Danio rerio: one gene and its partner. The protein of the gene in region 2 interacts with the protein of the main gene of each other region in a pairwise test. Links are inferred from orthologs where the notes say so. Each region holds a gene or a part of one and is shown on either strand. Other genes may lie near its edges.

Evidence for each region.
Region 1: the proteins of atxn1a (region 2) and eif3f interact in binary tests that used the Homo sapiens proteins (3 or more experiments, as listed by UniProt). The link is inferred for Danio rerio from reciprocal best matches to the Homo sapiens genes ATXN1 and EIF3F.

Annotation. Positions count from the first base shown.
Region 1 is NC_133176.1:11,700,331-11,708,591, reverse strand, and holds the start of eif3f (eukaryotic translation initiation factor 3 subunit F), read right to left. Parts: upstream 5,416-8,261; 5' UTR 5,389-5,415; coding exon 5,277-5,388; intron 5,098-5,276; coding exon 5,027-5,097; intron 3,889-5,026; coding exon 3,809-3,888; intron 2,655-3,808; coding exon 2,517-2,654; intron 133-2,516; coding exon 41-132; intron 1-40. UniProt on the Homo sapiens protein: Component of the eukaryotic translation initiation factor 3 (eIF-3) complex, which is required for several steps in the initiation of protein synthesis.
Region 2 is NC_133194.1:34,919,590-34,927,178, reverse strand, and holds the end of atxn1a (ataxin-1a), read right to left. Parts: coding exon 6,554-7,589; intron 4,264-6,553; coding exon 3,703-4,263; 3' UTR 1,338-3,702; downstream 1-1,337. UniProt on the Homo sapiens protein: Chromatin-binding factor that repress Notch signaling in the absence of Notch intracellular domain by acting as a CBF1 corepressor. Binds to the HEY promoter and might assist, along with NCOR2, RBPJ-mediated repression. Binds RNA in vitro.

The DNA.
Region 1 (8,261 bases), on a different chromosome or scaffold from region 2:
CCCTAATCTGTAAACACAGTAAATCCATTCAATAACTGACCTCCAATGCGCTCTGTGTCGTAGTAAATGTACTTGACTGACAGAGGGGTGAACATCACGCCAACGGTCTTGCCTGGCACTCCCATCTGTGAACTAACAGCACAACCAACAGAAAAACACTGTTAATGAAGAAGAGCAAATCTACCTCTGAGAAGGGGGTATCACAGAACATGAGTTCCAGATTAGGGTTGGGCAATGTCGACCAATTGCATGATATGTTGTCTAATGTGAAACATTGCAATAGACAATGACATCGTTGTCAAATTAATTATTTATGAAAAATTCATTAATTCCTAACAAATTAAATTATTTGTAGCCTACCGTTTTAACTACCTGACCCGTCTTTGTTTTACCCATGACCAATTTATAAATAAATAAAGATAAGTTACACACAAATTACCACCTGTCAATCAAAGGGACTCAGGCATGAATAGATAAAAAAAGATGCACAACCAACAGGATCTGAGGTTTTCGATAAAATTACTAAGTACAAGCGTGAAAGTGAAAGATTGAAGCAGTGTACTGACGCTGTGACCCATTCTCTGACAGATTGAAAAGACAGAAGAGTCGTTAGATAGAGACCAGATTAATTAAATATCACGTTTAACAACTATAGTGAGACACAATGCAGCGGTACATCCTTGACAAACTGACCGACATGGACTGCTTGTGTGTGTGTATGTAGTCACGTGATGTGCGTTTTCAGCGGTATAGTGTGGACGGAGATCTGTTCAGAAAGGCTAGGTGCAACGCCAGTGTGGACGTGGATCGTTTCCGTTCTAAAATGCCATTTTAAAACTAAGACTAAATGGAGCCTAAAGGCTGATTATTACTTCTGTGTCAAGCTCACGTGTATACTATGGTGCAGCCTATGCGTGGAGGCGTAGCCCTGGCCCTGGCTAACGTGCACCTCTCCAAAAATGTAACTACACATTGCAACGATGTGTAGCGTTAAGCTCTGTGATTGGTCGGCTTGGTACCGCGAGTGTGGGCGGGACCGAAAGCCGCGCGAGCCCAATAGAGCAATTGTTTACAAGTGTGGAGTCCCGTGAAGGACCTCTGGATGGAAAGTTTTGTGTTTACCTTACGGATAAAGTTGTTGCATGTCCGCCGGTTCCTGCCTCAAAATGAGCGAGTTTGAACCACTTGTAAATTAAGGAAGCGTTCAGAAAACACAAAACACAGGCGAAGAAACTCGACACAGAGGAACATTAACACCTCACTGCCAACTTGCGTTTGGGAAGTGTTATTGCAGAACAACAGAAACAGCGTGCAGAAGGATGAATAAGTATAATATTTTGTACTGTAATCATGGCAAAAATGAAATAAGTTATTAGAGATGAGTTATTAAATCTATTATATTAAGAAATGTAATAAACAATCTTCTCTCCGTTAAACAGAAATAAAAAAGACCTACAGTTTCGAATAGAGCTGTGAACCTACACTAGTCTCACAGTTCGGTTCTGATTATCATGCCATCAATTCGGTTGAATTCGATATTTCGGTGCATCACGGTGCATTGACGGTGCTTTTCATACAGAGTTTTATATTTTCTTCACAGCAGCAGTTCTTGTATTAAAATGTATGAAGTTATTTATATTTACATATTATTTGTAATACAATTTTGTCATTTAATGCAAACAGTCAGATATATAAACTGTAACTTTAAACAAAACGAGCATTAAGCAAATAATATAAACAAATATAAATATCAAGCTCAATTTCTGATCCTTGTCTAGTTCTCTCACACCTCTTTGATTGGTCACACCCTCAACAAACACGGTTGCGATAAAAAACGTAAGTGCTGCGCTCTTCACAGATGAGTGACACTGATAAGCGGCAGGGGCGATCTCACAGCTGATGTATGATAGACATGGTGGAGAAAACTCTGAAGACACGCGCTCGGTTCTTTAGCCACTGTGTGTGTGTGTGTGTGTGTGAGAGAGAGAGAGAGAGAGAGAGAGAGAGAGAGAAATGGAGTACTTTCATTCTCTCGATCTCAGTGAAATAGTTGTATATGTCAGTGAAAGACTGATCCAGCAAACACACAGTGAAATCGTGCACAGTTTATGAGTTTTAAGTAGTTAGAGCGTTGTAAATACTCACTATCGCCTCCCTCATGACAGAGCGCATATGAGGTAAATGACGTCAGTATTAACCAGTTATGATTATTACTGAACCGATACCAAATTGTCCATGTCTGCATCGAGGTGCACCGAAGAAACGATTAATTTTGACACCCCTAGTTTCTGACTTAAACTGTATAAATTATTATATCATTTGCTATAAAAAAATCTTTGATAATATAAATATAAACAAGCATTTTCTATATATGCATATACGTGGATACATGCATTTATTTATACCCATAACAAATATGCACAGATAGTACACAACATTATTATGTAAACATAAAATTTTAATTCATAAGCGATTATTGTACACTAGTCAGCATTTGTTTGTTGTGGTTGTGTTACCTGACGTAGGCCCGGATGTTCATTTTGTTGCTCTGCAGTGCCGTGTCCACAGTGAGGTGAATAGGGTTTGGAGCCTCTCTGCTGTAATACTCATGGATCAGAACCGAGTGCTCAGTGATGTCAAATCCTGTGGCATACCTGCAAAAACAACACAGCCTCTTTCTTCAGTGAAACAACATTCCTTAAGTTTATCTGAAATCAGATTCTATTATTATATTTTGAAATATTTTAGATAGTCATTTTTGTAATATTTTCCATTTTAAGTTCTAATAATTCTGTTACCTGTATAATTATTCTTTTTTGATATATAGATATAACCTACATTATGGAAGCTACCCTGTCACAGTAATCAATATATGAACTTATCGCATTGATAAGCCGTGTCATATTATATTGACATGACCTCAGACATTTTTAGTGATGCAATATATATCGCCCATACATAAAAATGAATTCTAGCAACATTTCAGCTGGTTTTGCAACATCTCGATCTCTATTGAGGTGTCAGTATGGTTTAAAAAGCTCTACAGGTTTTACTATAAATTGCTATAGAAGATTTTCATGTGGGTGTCTGACAACTAAAAATAGATCTGCTAGCAGATATCACAGCTTCTGTTACTTTTTGCCTTGCACCTTTTTGTTAACATTTATTATTATTTATGATATGCGTTTTTACAATCTCATTCCAAAGCCATAGGATAACTAAATTAAATAGTCTTAACAATAAAATATTATGTGTTCTTTGTATGAGTGTACTTGCATTGTGGTGATATTATATTGTCATTCTGGTATTATATAATGAGTGGCATAGAATGGTATTAAAATCACAATAAAATCATTTATCGCAATGTATTTTGGTGCAATATACCGTACAACAAAAACTAGATATATCGTGACAGGCCTAATGGAAGCTTGCTTTTACAATGGAATAAAAGGCAAATATACTTAAAAAAAAGAGTAGCAATATAAACTGAACTGTAAGAACAACAAATGAAAATGAAATGAATATCTGAATTGTGAAATATAAACTTGTAAACATGAGATATACATTTAAAATGGCTGCAAAAATAAATCATGGGACTGTAGGAGAAAAAAATATCATTTTATTTAATTTTCTTATTTTAGTTATTTTACCATAGCGCAAAGCAAAATGCATTAAATGAAAAATAACAAATGTTCACAAAAGTTTCTAAACCTTCTAAAAATATAACAAAAAATGTGCTTACAACAATAACTTAACAAAACTTTAGCAAAGAAAAGAATTATATTAATTTGGAAATGCGGCCACATACCATCCAACAATGACTTCACTCGGCGAAACCTTCTTATGAAGCTCATACATGTTCTTGGCGAACTCCATGTCAACAGCCACCTATTTAAAAAAAATAAAATAAAAATAATTTTAAAAGGTAAATAAATTGCACAATGATGATGATTAAATGCTGGTGCTCCTTAGTAAAGCATAAATAACATATGGTACATGTCCAAAAATACAGTAGCATGTAACATGACACTTTTGAATTAAGTTGGTTTTATATTTGAACATTCAGACACTCGTGTTCAATAAAATAGTAAAGCAAATTTTAAAGAGGCTAATACAGATTCATTCATTTTCTTGTCGGCTTAGTCCCTTTATAAATCCGGGGTCGCCACAGCAGAATGAACCGCCAACTTATCCATCAAGTTTTTAAGCAGAGGATGCCCTTCAAGCCGCAACCCATCTCTGGGAAAAGGCTAATACAGATAAATTAGCAAATTGTTATAGTTAAAAAAAAAAAAAAAAAGCTTATGAACTCTATGAAAGGTCCCTACATTGTTTACCAGGCTACATTGAATAATCGGTCTGAAATGCATGACTTCAAAATAGGCATGGGACGATAACCGTTTTCAAGGTACACAGTGATTTAAAAAAAAAACTGATGTTTTAAAACCGCCAAAATTATCTGCTATAGATGAATTACCAGTTTGTAAACAGTAAAAAAAAAAAAAAAAACTGGAGCGCTACCATTTAGCAGAGCCGTAATCACTATGTAATACTGTGAAAATGTGATATTTATATTAAAGAATATTAACGTCAGAATTGTATACCGGCCCATGCCTACTTTAAATCCACATTAGCACCATTTAACTGACTGTAAACAATGTTGTACTTTAATAGTCACTGGCTGTTAATTTGAGTTGACCGTTTAGGATTTGACAAAGAATACCTTTCTGAAATTACATTAAGAAGGTGAAAGTCTGAATGTGCAAATATAAAATCAACTTTACCTCACTTCAATTTTGGCTGATGGTTTGTAAGTGTATTTCAACCAATCAATTAGCTAAAGATGCATAACAACAGAACATGAAATACCACAGATGTCTCACTCGAACCCTTTAGACCATTACAAAGTTACAGTGAGATACCTGTGATGTGAAATTGTTTTGTTTTTCGTTATGCCTAAAAAGCTACATAAATGTCTGGCACACACTAATGTAAAGGATGTATTAGATGATGCTTTTTTTCTCACCTCATCTTCAGACTCGTTGTGAGGAACAGAGAAGCAGTTGGTGACATCGACTGAATGTTTATCTGCTGTTCCTGTTTGACACACAAACACAACCACCAGGTAAGTGATGCTGCTGATCTGTACAGTTTCTCATCCACCCCAGCCATTCAGCTCGACTACAACACATGCTCCACAAGACCAAGCGACGCTCATGTTGTTTGTAATAATCGCAACTGTCTCATAAATCTCACACAAGAATTCAATGACCCACCTAATAATGTCCCGATCACGCGACTCGCTCCTTCATTCCTGCGCTCGTATGAGTCCACAATCGAAGCCAAAACCACCGGGTGGATTTTCACGACCGGGCCGTGCACCGCCATGATTTCGAAGAGGAAGTAAAAGATGATGATAAACAGAGAAGAAGAGCGCGTCAGTGGGATTCGCGCTGCCGCCCCCTAGCGGATGTAGGTGGCTGACAAAATAATGTGTAAAAAATTATAATCAAATAAATAATTAAACACAGCATGTAAAGTTTTAGTGGGTGGGTCAGGTTAAAGTTCTTCGAGGTTTGCTTGGTACATATCCATTTTTTCAATGGACAATTTAATAGCAACACAACTGCATGTTAATGCCAAAAATCGGATCAGCTAACCACATGGCAGCAATCCAAAACATTTAGACATGATGAAAACATGGCCAAGACAACGCACATGAAAAGATAATGGAGTAATTCATAGTAAATTGGCTACGATAGTGTTTTTGAAACAAATGATAGTAAAGTTTATTATACTGTAGGCCTATACTATAAAGTATTAAGTTAACAACACATGCTAATAAATGCTACTGCATTATCTATAATAAACTGTGTAGGCAACTGTAGTATATTTTAGTTTTACAACAGTAAATTGTGATGTATTATCATGTAGCCTAATATATAACTAACCACAGGCTATTGGGCAACTTGTTTTGCTATAGGCCTAGTTGTTGTAATAACATATCATTTAGGCCAGAGGTATCCAATCTAGGGCATGTGGGCCAAACTTGGCCCTTGATAATCTTTGATTTGGCCCACCATCCCATCTGAGAAGAGAGACTGATAGGGAGGGTTGGGACAATTGCCTTTAACAGAGATCTTAATTTCTAATTTAACGCAACCTTGGTTTGTTTGATTATTTTATTGCTGATCTACAAAAAAAAGGTAAATGAAAATAAACAAGTCAAGGCAGAGGGTGCAGCTTTACTAGTGTAACTCCATTCTGTTTTAAATGAATTTTGTTTTACTATAAAAAGTTCATTATACAGGTGAGGCAGTGGCGCAGTAGGTAGTGCTGTCGCCTCACAGCAAGAAGGTCGCTGGTTCGAACCTCGGCTCAGTTGGCGTTCCTGTGTGGAGTTTGCATGTTTTCCCTGCCTTTGTGTGGGTTTCCCCCACAGTTCAAAGACATGCAGTAAAATGGGTAGGCTAAATTGTCCGTAGTGTATGAGTGCGTGTGTGAATGTGTGTGTGTGGATGTTTCCCAGAGATGGGTTGCGGCTGGCATAAAAAACTTGCTGGATAAGTTGGCGGTTCATTCCGCTGTGGCGACCCTGGAATAATAAAGGGACTAAGCCGACAAGAAAATGAATTAATGAATGAAGTTCATTATATAATAAAATCTGCATAAGATAATATGAAGCAATGTTAAAGTTATTTTTAAATATTAAATTAGGAAACCACCAATGCAACTTTAATGAAATAGAGTTTGGTATGTTTACATTCGGCCCACCACCCTCAATCAAGCCCTTCATAGGAAAAAGTGTGGGCACTTAATGTAATTTCAGTGAGAGACATTATTTACATTATGTCTTTGGAAACATTTGAAAAATCTTTGTTATTTAAAAAAACAACATGCATTTTGGACTACTGGTGGTGCCTTAATTTTAAGTTTCAGATGGAAACGCTGAGTTATATTGACACTGCCTGTTGATATTTTTACATCAAAATAACTCAATATTACAAACATAAGAACAATTCAAATATTAGTATCTGCCACATTGTGTGTTTTTTGGTTGCAACTTTCAGACATGTGGTTTCTGACTAGCGACTGCTGTCTTGCACATAAAATAATGAGTGGCTTAGTCCATTCATTTATCAGGGGTTGCCACAGCGGAATGAACCACCAACTATTCCGGCACATGTTTTATGCAACGGATGCCCTTTCAGCTTCAACCTAGTACTGGGAAACATCCATACACACTCATTCACTCACACACGCACACACACGCATGCACACACACACACACACACACACACACACACACACACACACACACACACACACACACACACACACACACACACACACACACACACACACACACACACACCAGTGAACTTCTTGCTGTGAGGCGACAGTGCTAACCACTGAGCCAACATGTCGCCCGACCCCCACACAGTAAGTCCAAGATAAGTGTGTTTTTAAATGATAAACACCATTTACATTATATTAGGCCAACTACCCAGGGTTTCTTTTAAATTCCTTTGGGTTTCCATTACCATTTTTAATGCACATTTTGAAGTATCACATGAGAAACAAGTAATGGAAAAGCTAATATTAAATAAAAGTAGGTTAACAAAAAAAAGGTTTTACAGTTGTAACATTTGCTAAATAATCTCAGATATAGCGAATATTACAATATAACCAATCAGCTGTCTCCATTATGCTAACCTTGTTTACTGTATGTTATAATCAGCCACTCTAATAAAAAGCACCTTATTTAACACATTTGAGATATTGCCTTTCTTTTTGTTCTTTAAAGACTTGCTTCACAATGCAACCCTGGCTTTGTGTGGATTGCCTGAGCATATTTCAGAAACTGCAAAGTTTCAGGGATTTTTTTTCACTCACAAAATACCAAGGGAGTGACATTTCTCATGGGTGAAAATGCATTGTTGATGCCAGAGGGAAGAGGCGAATGAAAATAAGCACTTGTTACAATTGAGTTCTGCAGGAGAGCATCTCTGAACACAACATGTCAAACCTTGAAGCTGAAAACTACACAGGAGACACTCCTGTCAGATAACAAAAGAAACCGAGGCTACAATTCACCAAGATACACTAAATTAGACAGTAGACGACTGGAAAAGTGTTTATCTGGCTTGACGAGATTCGAATTCTGCTTTGACTTTCAAATGGTAGTGTCAAAAGAACTGGCATGAACCACATGAAAGCATTAAGCAGTATATGAGAAGTTCAAGAAAGAGCATAGACCT
Region 2 (7,589 bases):
CTTGAGGACTGCAGCTCCGCACATTTTAGTTCCAATCCTGCTTTAACACATTCTAGGTTTCAAACAAGCCTGAAAGACTCAATTAGTTTGATTAGGTGTGTTTAATTGGGGTTAAAGCTAAACTGTGCAGAGTTGCCACCCTCCAGGAACTGAGTTTGACACTTGTGTCTTAGAAACCCTTCAACTTAGAGTGTCTATGAGAAAACCAAAATATTTTTCTGTGGCGTCAAGATTGGAGCCTTTATTTTTAAAAAATACATGGTCCTCCAGACAAAACAAATTTACTTTCCCAATGACATGACGTCATATTTTAATTATTTTAGTAAACTCGCTTTCGATTTACCATGAAAAACCTTCTGTTCCTTATTGCAAACCCTGAAACATACCACACTGTGGGGGTAAAATGGGTTCAACTATCAATTCATGTTGACGATAACAGAGCGAGTACAAGTGAATGAATTAGAATTCTCCCCTGAAACCCCGAAACCTAAATTTGACATGAAACTCGGTCAAAAATACTGTCAAGGTTATATGGCTATGAATGTGAAAGACAGCTAAAAAGAGAGAAACTGTAGGAACTGTAGGTGGTTGTGCCTTGTGAGAAAGCGGTCAAACGTACGTGCCAGGCAACAGAAGGTAGCTAACGGTTGCGGTTGGGTAAACATACTCTGAGAGAGGCGTACTGGTTCTGTATGGGCACCTGAAGAGCATCTAGAGGTCACTATAGATTACGGGTTAAGACGGCTAGGAGGGGACAGACTCTGTCACTGCATATTAATTTACATTTCTCCCTGAAGTTACTGAGGGCCGGCTGTGCAAACTGCAAATCAACCTAAAGAGGATAAAAAAACAGCTTGCTGAGGTCGAACAGAAGGTCTGGTGTTGATGTCTGTGTGTGTGTGTGTTTTTTTTTGTATTTTTGGTTCAGCACTAGAGACTAAGGGTTATTGCTACGTGCCGTTGTTCGGAATGCTTCTCATGCGTACGTGGAACCACACTGTGCAACCAGAAGGAGGCAGACTGTTAAATGATTGAAGCAATGAGCGACATTGAAAACACTGATCATTACATGAAGAGAAGGACAAAGGGAAAAGATTGGAAAAACCAGACAAAAATGCGAGACCGCCATCGACAGTTCTGTTCTTGGGGTGGTTCAACGGACAAACAATATTTCTAGCGTTTGGCCCAAAATAAACGTCGAACACAATGAAAATATCAAGTTTGATTGGTTGAAGTGGATACATTCACACATATAATCCAAGTAAAACTCACACACACAGGTCAAAAGACAGAAGTGGAGACATTTCCAATGGAAAAAAAGGGAAAAAAATGCATGGTTGTGGTGTTGATCTGAGAAACCCTGTTTTATTATAAAAAATAAAGCATTTTCAAATTGTATATGGGGTGCACTCACTCACCCACCCTCCACCACTCATTAAATCCATTCATTCATCTTTTTATTCTCTACTACAACCCATCTTCCTGCCAGATTTTCACCTACCCAAGTTAACTTGAGCGTGGCCACTCGAACGACTTGACAAGTATGCAGACTACAGGCTATGAGCGAACTCTTCAACACAGCACCGTGCAAAAATCCTGCTGATTCAAACCCTCCAGAAAAGGAGCTTCCTGGTTTTCCTAATGAAAATGAACCTAACAGACCCGCGAACTAAACAAACTTGCCAAGAAACTGCTACATTTCAGTAAAAATCTGGTTTTCGGCCCTGTCTGTGCTGGCAGAAAACAAAATAAATCATGTTACTATCTCTCCAGATGTGCAAATTGCAATATTCTTTTAAGTAGAACTTAAATATCTATTTATAATATGTGTGGTATGTACACACACATGCACGCACCCAAACACACACGCACTCACACAAAACTGAAATGACTACATGATTGCTTTCACATACGTTCGATGAGTCAGTGTCTTGGGGGACGGGACTAAAAACGTGCTCATGTAGTCTTGCGCTCTCATACAGTAAGATAGATATAGCATATGCAGTTCTATACACGTTAATGTACAAAAAATACATGACATGTCTATTTCAACATGACTGAAAATCACCGTAACCGTGTGTACATGTGCATGTGTGCGGCTGCACACAAACTCGCATGCGGGCACGATCACACACATTGCTAACAAACAAGTATATGACACTCTTCGATCCTCCAAAGATTACCGTAGCCAGAGTTTCTCACTTACACTTTGTCTCTCGTATCTCTCGTAAATATATAAACAGTCTCTGTACGTATTTCCATTCCATCCTTATTCGCATTCATACTTTCATTCGACTCGCTTTGAATGACTTAAATGGCAGTTGTTTCGTCATCTTTACTCAACTTGCTTGAGATGGCTTAGCCAATCTTTAAAAAAGTGCTTCCTTTAAAGCAATCCTCATGAGGACAAAATCTCTCTTTCTTTGATCACCTTTTACATTCATTCCTTCACTGTGACCCTATCGTCTTTCCAGAGTCACTCAACATCCAATTGATGATACAGCATACAGTACTGTGTTTACATTGAAAAAAATCAACAGAAAATAGTTGTAGCATTAATAATAACAATAATAAATCATTATTTCATTCGGTTGATTGAAACTACTATCAGTGACAGGCGTATTAGTTAAGTGCTTCAGCACTCACACCTCATCCTTCGCAGCCAACTTTCCAACTCTTTCTTTCAGAATAATCAACGTTCTCTTCTTTAAACGAAATCAAAACAGCCGAGACTGCACTAAAACAAAAGACTGGTCGATTTCCTCACCCATTGTGTTTGTATGCATCAAGATACATCCATGCATATATATTCATAGACAAGAACCCATTCTGTGTCTACATACAAAAAAATGACCCCTGATTGCAAGGTTGACACATTCATCACAAAAAAAGGGAGGGAAACATAAGAAAAATCTACCCATCAGGTATGATAGGAGGGTTTGAAAAGTAAGACATGCAAAACTACAAAAATAGTCAAATAAAAGGTTAGACAGTTGGATATATAAAAATAGATTCGTCCATCTTCCCTGTTTAAAGTGATAGTTTCGTCTTTTCTGAGGAGCAAACTGGCACCGCTCAATGACATCATCTCTCTTGGCCTGTACCATAGTATTTGGAAACTTCTTTTTGCACTTCAATAAACGTTAACAGAATCTTTGCTAGTCTAACTGTGCTGACCATACTGCTCTATATTGTTAGGATCGATTTGGATAGTCTCTTGTAGTCACAGTTAAACAAGATGGCTGACATCATGTAAACTCCTGCAACCAGTGGAGGAGTGATTTCCGTTCTGCCACCACATTCACACCACTTGTTCATCTTCCCTTACTAACATTTTTAGGTTCAGCAAGCGAATGTTTTAATTGCCACTAAGTGTCGTTTGTAAGCCAAAAGAATTTTGTAGGTGAGAGACTAGAGAGACGTCTTGTCAGCTGTGAGTAATTTTATATGCCGGAGCCTTCAGGATAACATGCCGTCTCACAACCTTCTCACCTTGCTCTACATCCACCTTGAATTTGACCAATCAATTGAATTGCACCAATTGCCTGTGTAAAATTGAATTCCTCAATTACAATGTTAGATGTGATAACATAGATACTGAGTAAATTTTGCCTTTAGGAAAAGAAATCTGGACAACAGAACAATTAAAAACATTCTGAGGGCAAATTTTGCAATTTTAAAAGCAGACAGTCCGACGCATGTTCACTTTCCAATATTTGATCTGCCTTCGATACTGATTTTAACCTCCTGAGGGATGAAAGAAGGCTTAGGGAACGTTAAAGGGGGCTCTCCTTCTGGATTTTCTACTTTACGACCCTCAGGGGCAGACCACCTTCTTTTTCGACCTGTGGGTTTACTGCTGGTCTCTGATTCTGTGAGTGTTGGAGCTTTGCAGTTGTCCCTTTCACCAAACCTCAGTTCTCCGTTTTCTCTATTGCCTTGACCGCCTCTACTTCCTTGATCTGCACACTGCCCGAGTCCATTTTCCTGTTCTGTGTGCCGAACACCCCCTCGTGCGCCACTTGAGAGTGCTTTTGGTGATTTAAGAGGTGGACCGAGTGCAGGTGCATCCAAGACTTGCCCCTGGCTCTTCTTGATGGAACCGTTCCTCAGGTTCTTCAGGGTGAGGGAGATGCAGACGTCACCCACTGAAAGCTTGGTGCATGGCAGCTCGAGCAGCTGAGTAGTCCGATCCGGACAACAAGATGACCAGCCCTGGCCGAACACAAAGAAAGGATACTCTACTAGTACCTCCACACTGACCTGCAAAAGAAAAAGGGAGTCAAAAAGAGAGGACAATGACTTCCGAAAGTAGAAGTCGTGCACAAATGCCTGATGATATGAATGAATGTCTTTGCTAAAAAGCATCTGTTAATCAGTGCCTCTCGAAATGACAGACTTTAGAACTGCTTTCGAGTGGGTGGCCCCATCTCAACTCCCAGACAAATGAAGCAGATTTTTCATACAGCCCACTCACAGTACAACAGAAGGAAGCAGAAATAAGGAATGACTCAATTCTGCCAGTGAATCCCACACAAACTAAACAAAGATGCCATGGGGACAGCCAGGGGAGGGATTATGGAACAGGGAGATGATTTCAGCTGCCAATTTGCCCCACATCTACTTACACTGATTGAGTGCAGGTGGAGTTCATATAAGGGGACATTCACACTCTCACAGCATATAAAAATATAAACTTAATGACTACCATATGCTTATTCAAAGCGAGATGATGAAGTTGCACGGAAGATGTAAAGTAAAAAAAAAAAGATCCCTGGGCAATTGCAAATGCTGTAAAGATTTTTAACTGACAATTGTTAAACATGAAATTAAATTACCCATCTTTGGAATCCATCTGCATATTATGAAACCGTCATAATATTTGGCCAATTTGCCAAGATATTTCAACTGTAATCACACCTCATAAAATGGCATGATTCAAATAACTGCAATTTGGATTCTAATGTAAATGATATACTTCAAATATGCACTGTATATAATTAAAGGTGCAGTAGGTGATCTGCCAAAACGATAACCCCTTAGCATATTATATTGGGACGGCGGGGAGGGACTGTGATTCAAAGCTACACCCCCTGAAATCGCGAGCGCGCGCACCGCGTTACAACAGCAGACAGACAACCCACTAGTTCATGTAATTCGCCAGTTAGTCAGTGCCAGTGCTGTGCGGGAATTACATTTATTACTTAGCCACACTTACATGCTATTTCAGACAGATTATTCAGAGTAGCATGGTAAACAGTATAGGAAGGCTGTCATTGTTCAAAAATGACCCAATGTGAATATAAAAGCAACTTCAGCTCAATAAAGTAGGCTAGGCAAAATAGCGCTATTTACTGATGTTTTCTTGTTAAACTAAACATAAATCTACATCAGTGGTCACCAAACTTGTTCCTGGAGGGCCGGTGTCCTGCAGATTTTTGTTCCAATCCTAATCAAACACACCTGAACAAGCTAATCAAGGTCTTACTTGGTATACTTGAAACATCCAGGCTGGTGCGTTGAGGCAAGTTGGAGCAAAACCCTGCAGGGACACCGGCCCTCCAGGACCGAGATTGGTGACCCCTGATCTACATCATCGATGCTGTAAAAGGACCTTATGAAACTGAAAATAATCACATCAATCTTTCACCGGGAGATTTCAGGGTCTGAACAACACGTCTGTGCATATAAGTCATTCATAGCAGAACACAATCTAACATAAGCTTAGCCTGACTAAAATAGTTTTAAAACAGAACATTACATGTCTAACAGTAATACTTCAGCCATGATGTCGTCCTTCCACCAGCCTGCTAAAGTAACTCCAATATTGATTCAGGTTTTTAAAAGTTTCAATTAAGCATTTGATTTCTACCGGTCCGTCTCGTGACCGCGCGGCCGCTTATGCAGACGGGCACGTCCTAATGGCGGATCTGCGTGAACAGATGCGCAGAAGTCCGAATCTACATTTGCTGACAGACAGTCTGACCTGCTTATCGGAATTATGGGAGATGTCGGTCTGACTCTATTTAATTGGATGAACATTTTTTAGTTTTATGCCTTAACCAGAATATAAAAATACATATAAACACATTTAGATTATTTACTGTAATCATTACTATTGGACTGTAAAGAGACTTTCAACCAGTACAACAAAAAGTGTTTCTGAAGACAATCACCTACTGCACCTTTAATAACAAACAGTTATGGAATGTTCATATAAACATTAAAAAAACTCGTTAAAAATGCTAATTTCAGAGATGGCAAGAAACAAACGGAAGTTATGGTTCATAAAGATTGGCAATATATAATATATGGAGGACAATATAATTGCTGTACACACACCTAAAACTTAGGCAAAGGTCAACTCCATTAGATTTTTTTTTTAATAATAAACCCTTTACTACCACGTGCAGACATGGTACACAGTGTTTGATTAATATCACATAGTCATCAATCTCAAGTTTATTTCCCCGCTTATCTTTGTGCATAAGAAAAACAGATACTCAGATGTGTCTACAAGCAGCAATGTTAAATAGAAAACTTATGAACCCACCTGTGAGCGTTGCGCTCCTACAGCAAACTGTATTATAGCAAAGTTAGCTGTATGACTGCTGTCGATGCGCTCTACAGTGCTGGAATCAATCTTCAGCTCGTTGCTAATCTCAGCACTCTGAATGAAATCCTCTGTTTTCAGGTCTTCCACCCGCTTCAGTTCCCCATCTGCCAATTGGATGATGGAGCCCTTGGTGAAGTAGGGTGGCATTGAAGGAGCTGAGGGTGGGGGTGGAGTTGTCAGCAGGCCAGCAGGTGCTGGAACCACAGGCAAATGCAACTGGGCTTGAACCATAGCTGTGGCAGGGTGGGGGTATGGAGCCGGAGATTCAAAAGTTTCCACTTTGGGGGCTGTTGAGGTGACGAAAGCATGGGGCAGTGCAGCAGTTGATGTAGCGGTAGCTTCAGTTCCACTTACTGGGATGATGACCGGCTGAGTTCCAGGGATGACCAAGTGCTGGGGTAAGGTGGTGTGGTAGCTGAGAGGCTGCTGGTGCCCTGTGCCGGCAAAGTAACCAATGATAGGCTGCTGGGTGGAGTAGAAATTAGTGGAGGGGAGGCTTAGAGAGAGTGACTCTGTGCTGTTAAGTGTGGTCTGAATGACTGCATGAGGAGACTGCGCTGGAACTGCTCCCTTAAGATTGTCCACAGGTGGAGGGGGAAGAGCAAATGAAAGGGAGGAAGATAAGGAGGAACTGCGGGAGACAGGTTTGCCAGCACAAATCCCTCCTTTTTCATGGTGGGATGTCGAGGGAGGCAGCTTGTCTGATGCACCTCCAGAATCAGCACTAGTGGAGCTATGATTATTAGGTACCAGCACCAATGAGGTCCTCATGGCTGTGCTGTCCTGCGTGTACTCGGCAGGTAGCACAACATGTCGAGCTTCAAAGTGACGTGGGCTCTGCTGCTGGTGGATCTGGTGCTGCTGGGCAGAGGAACCCCCTTTGGCAGTGCTGCCCTGCTTCCCTGCACTGGACTCAGAAGATGGACCAAAACGTCTGTCCTTCTCCAGCTCTCCATTCAGCAACTCCCTGGTC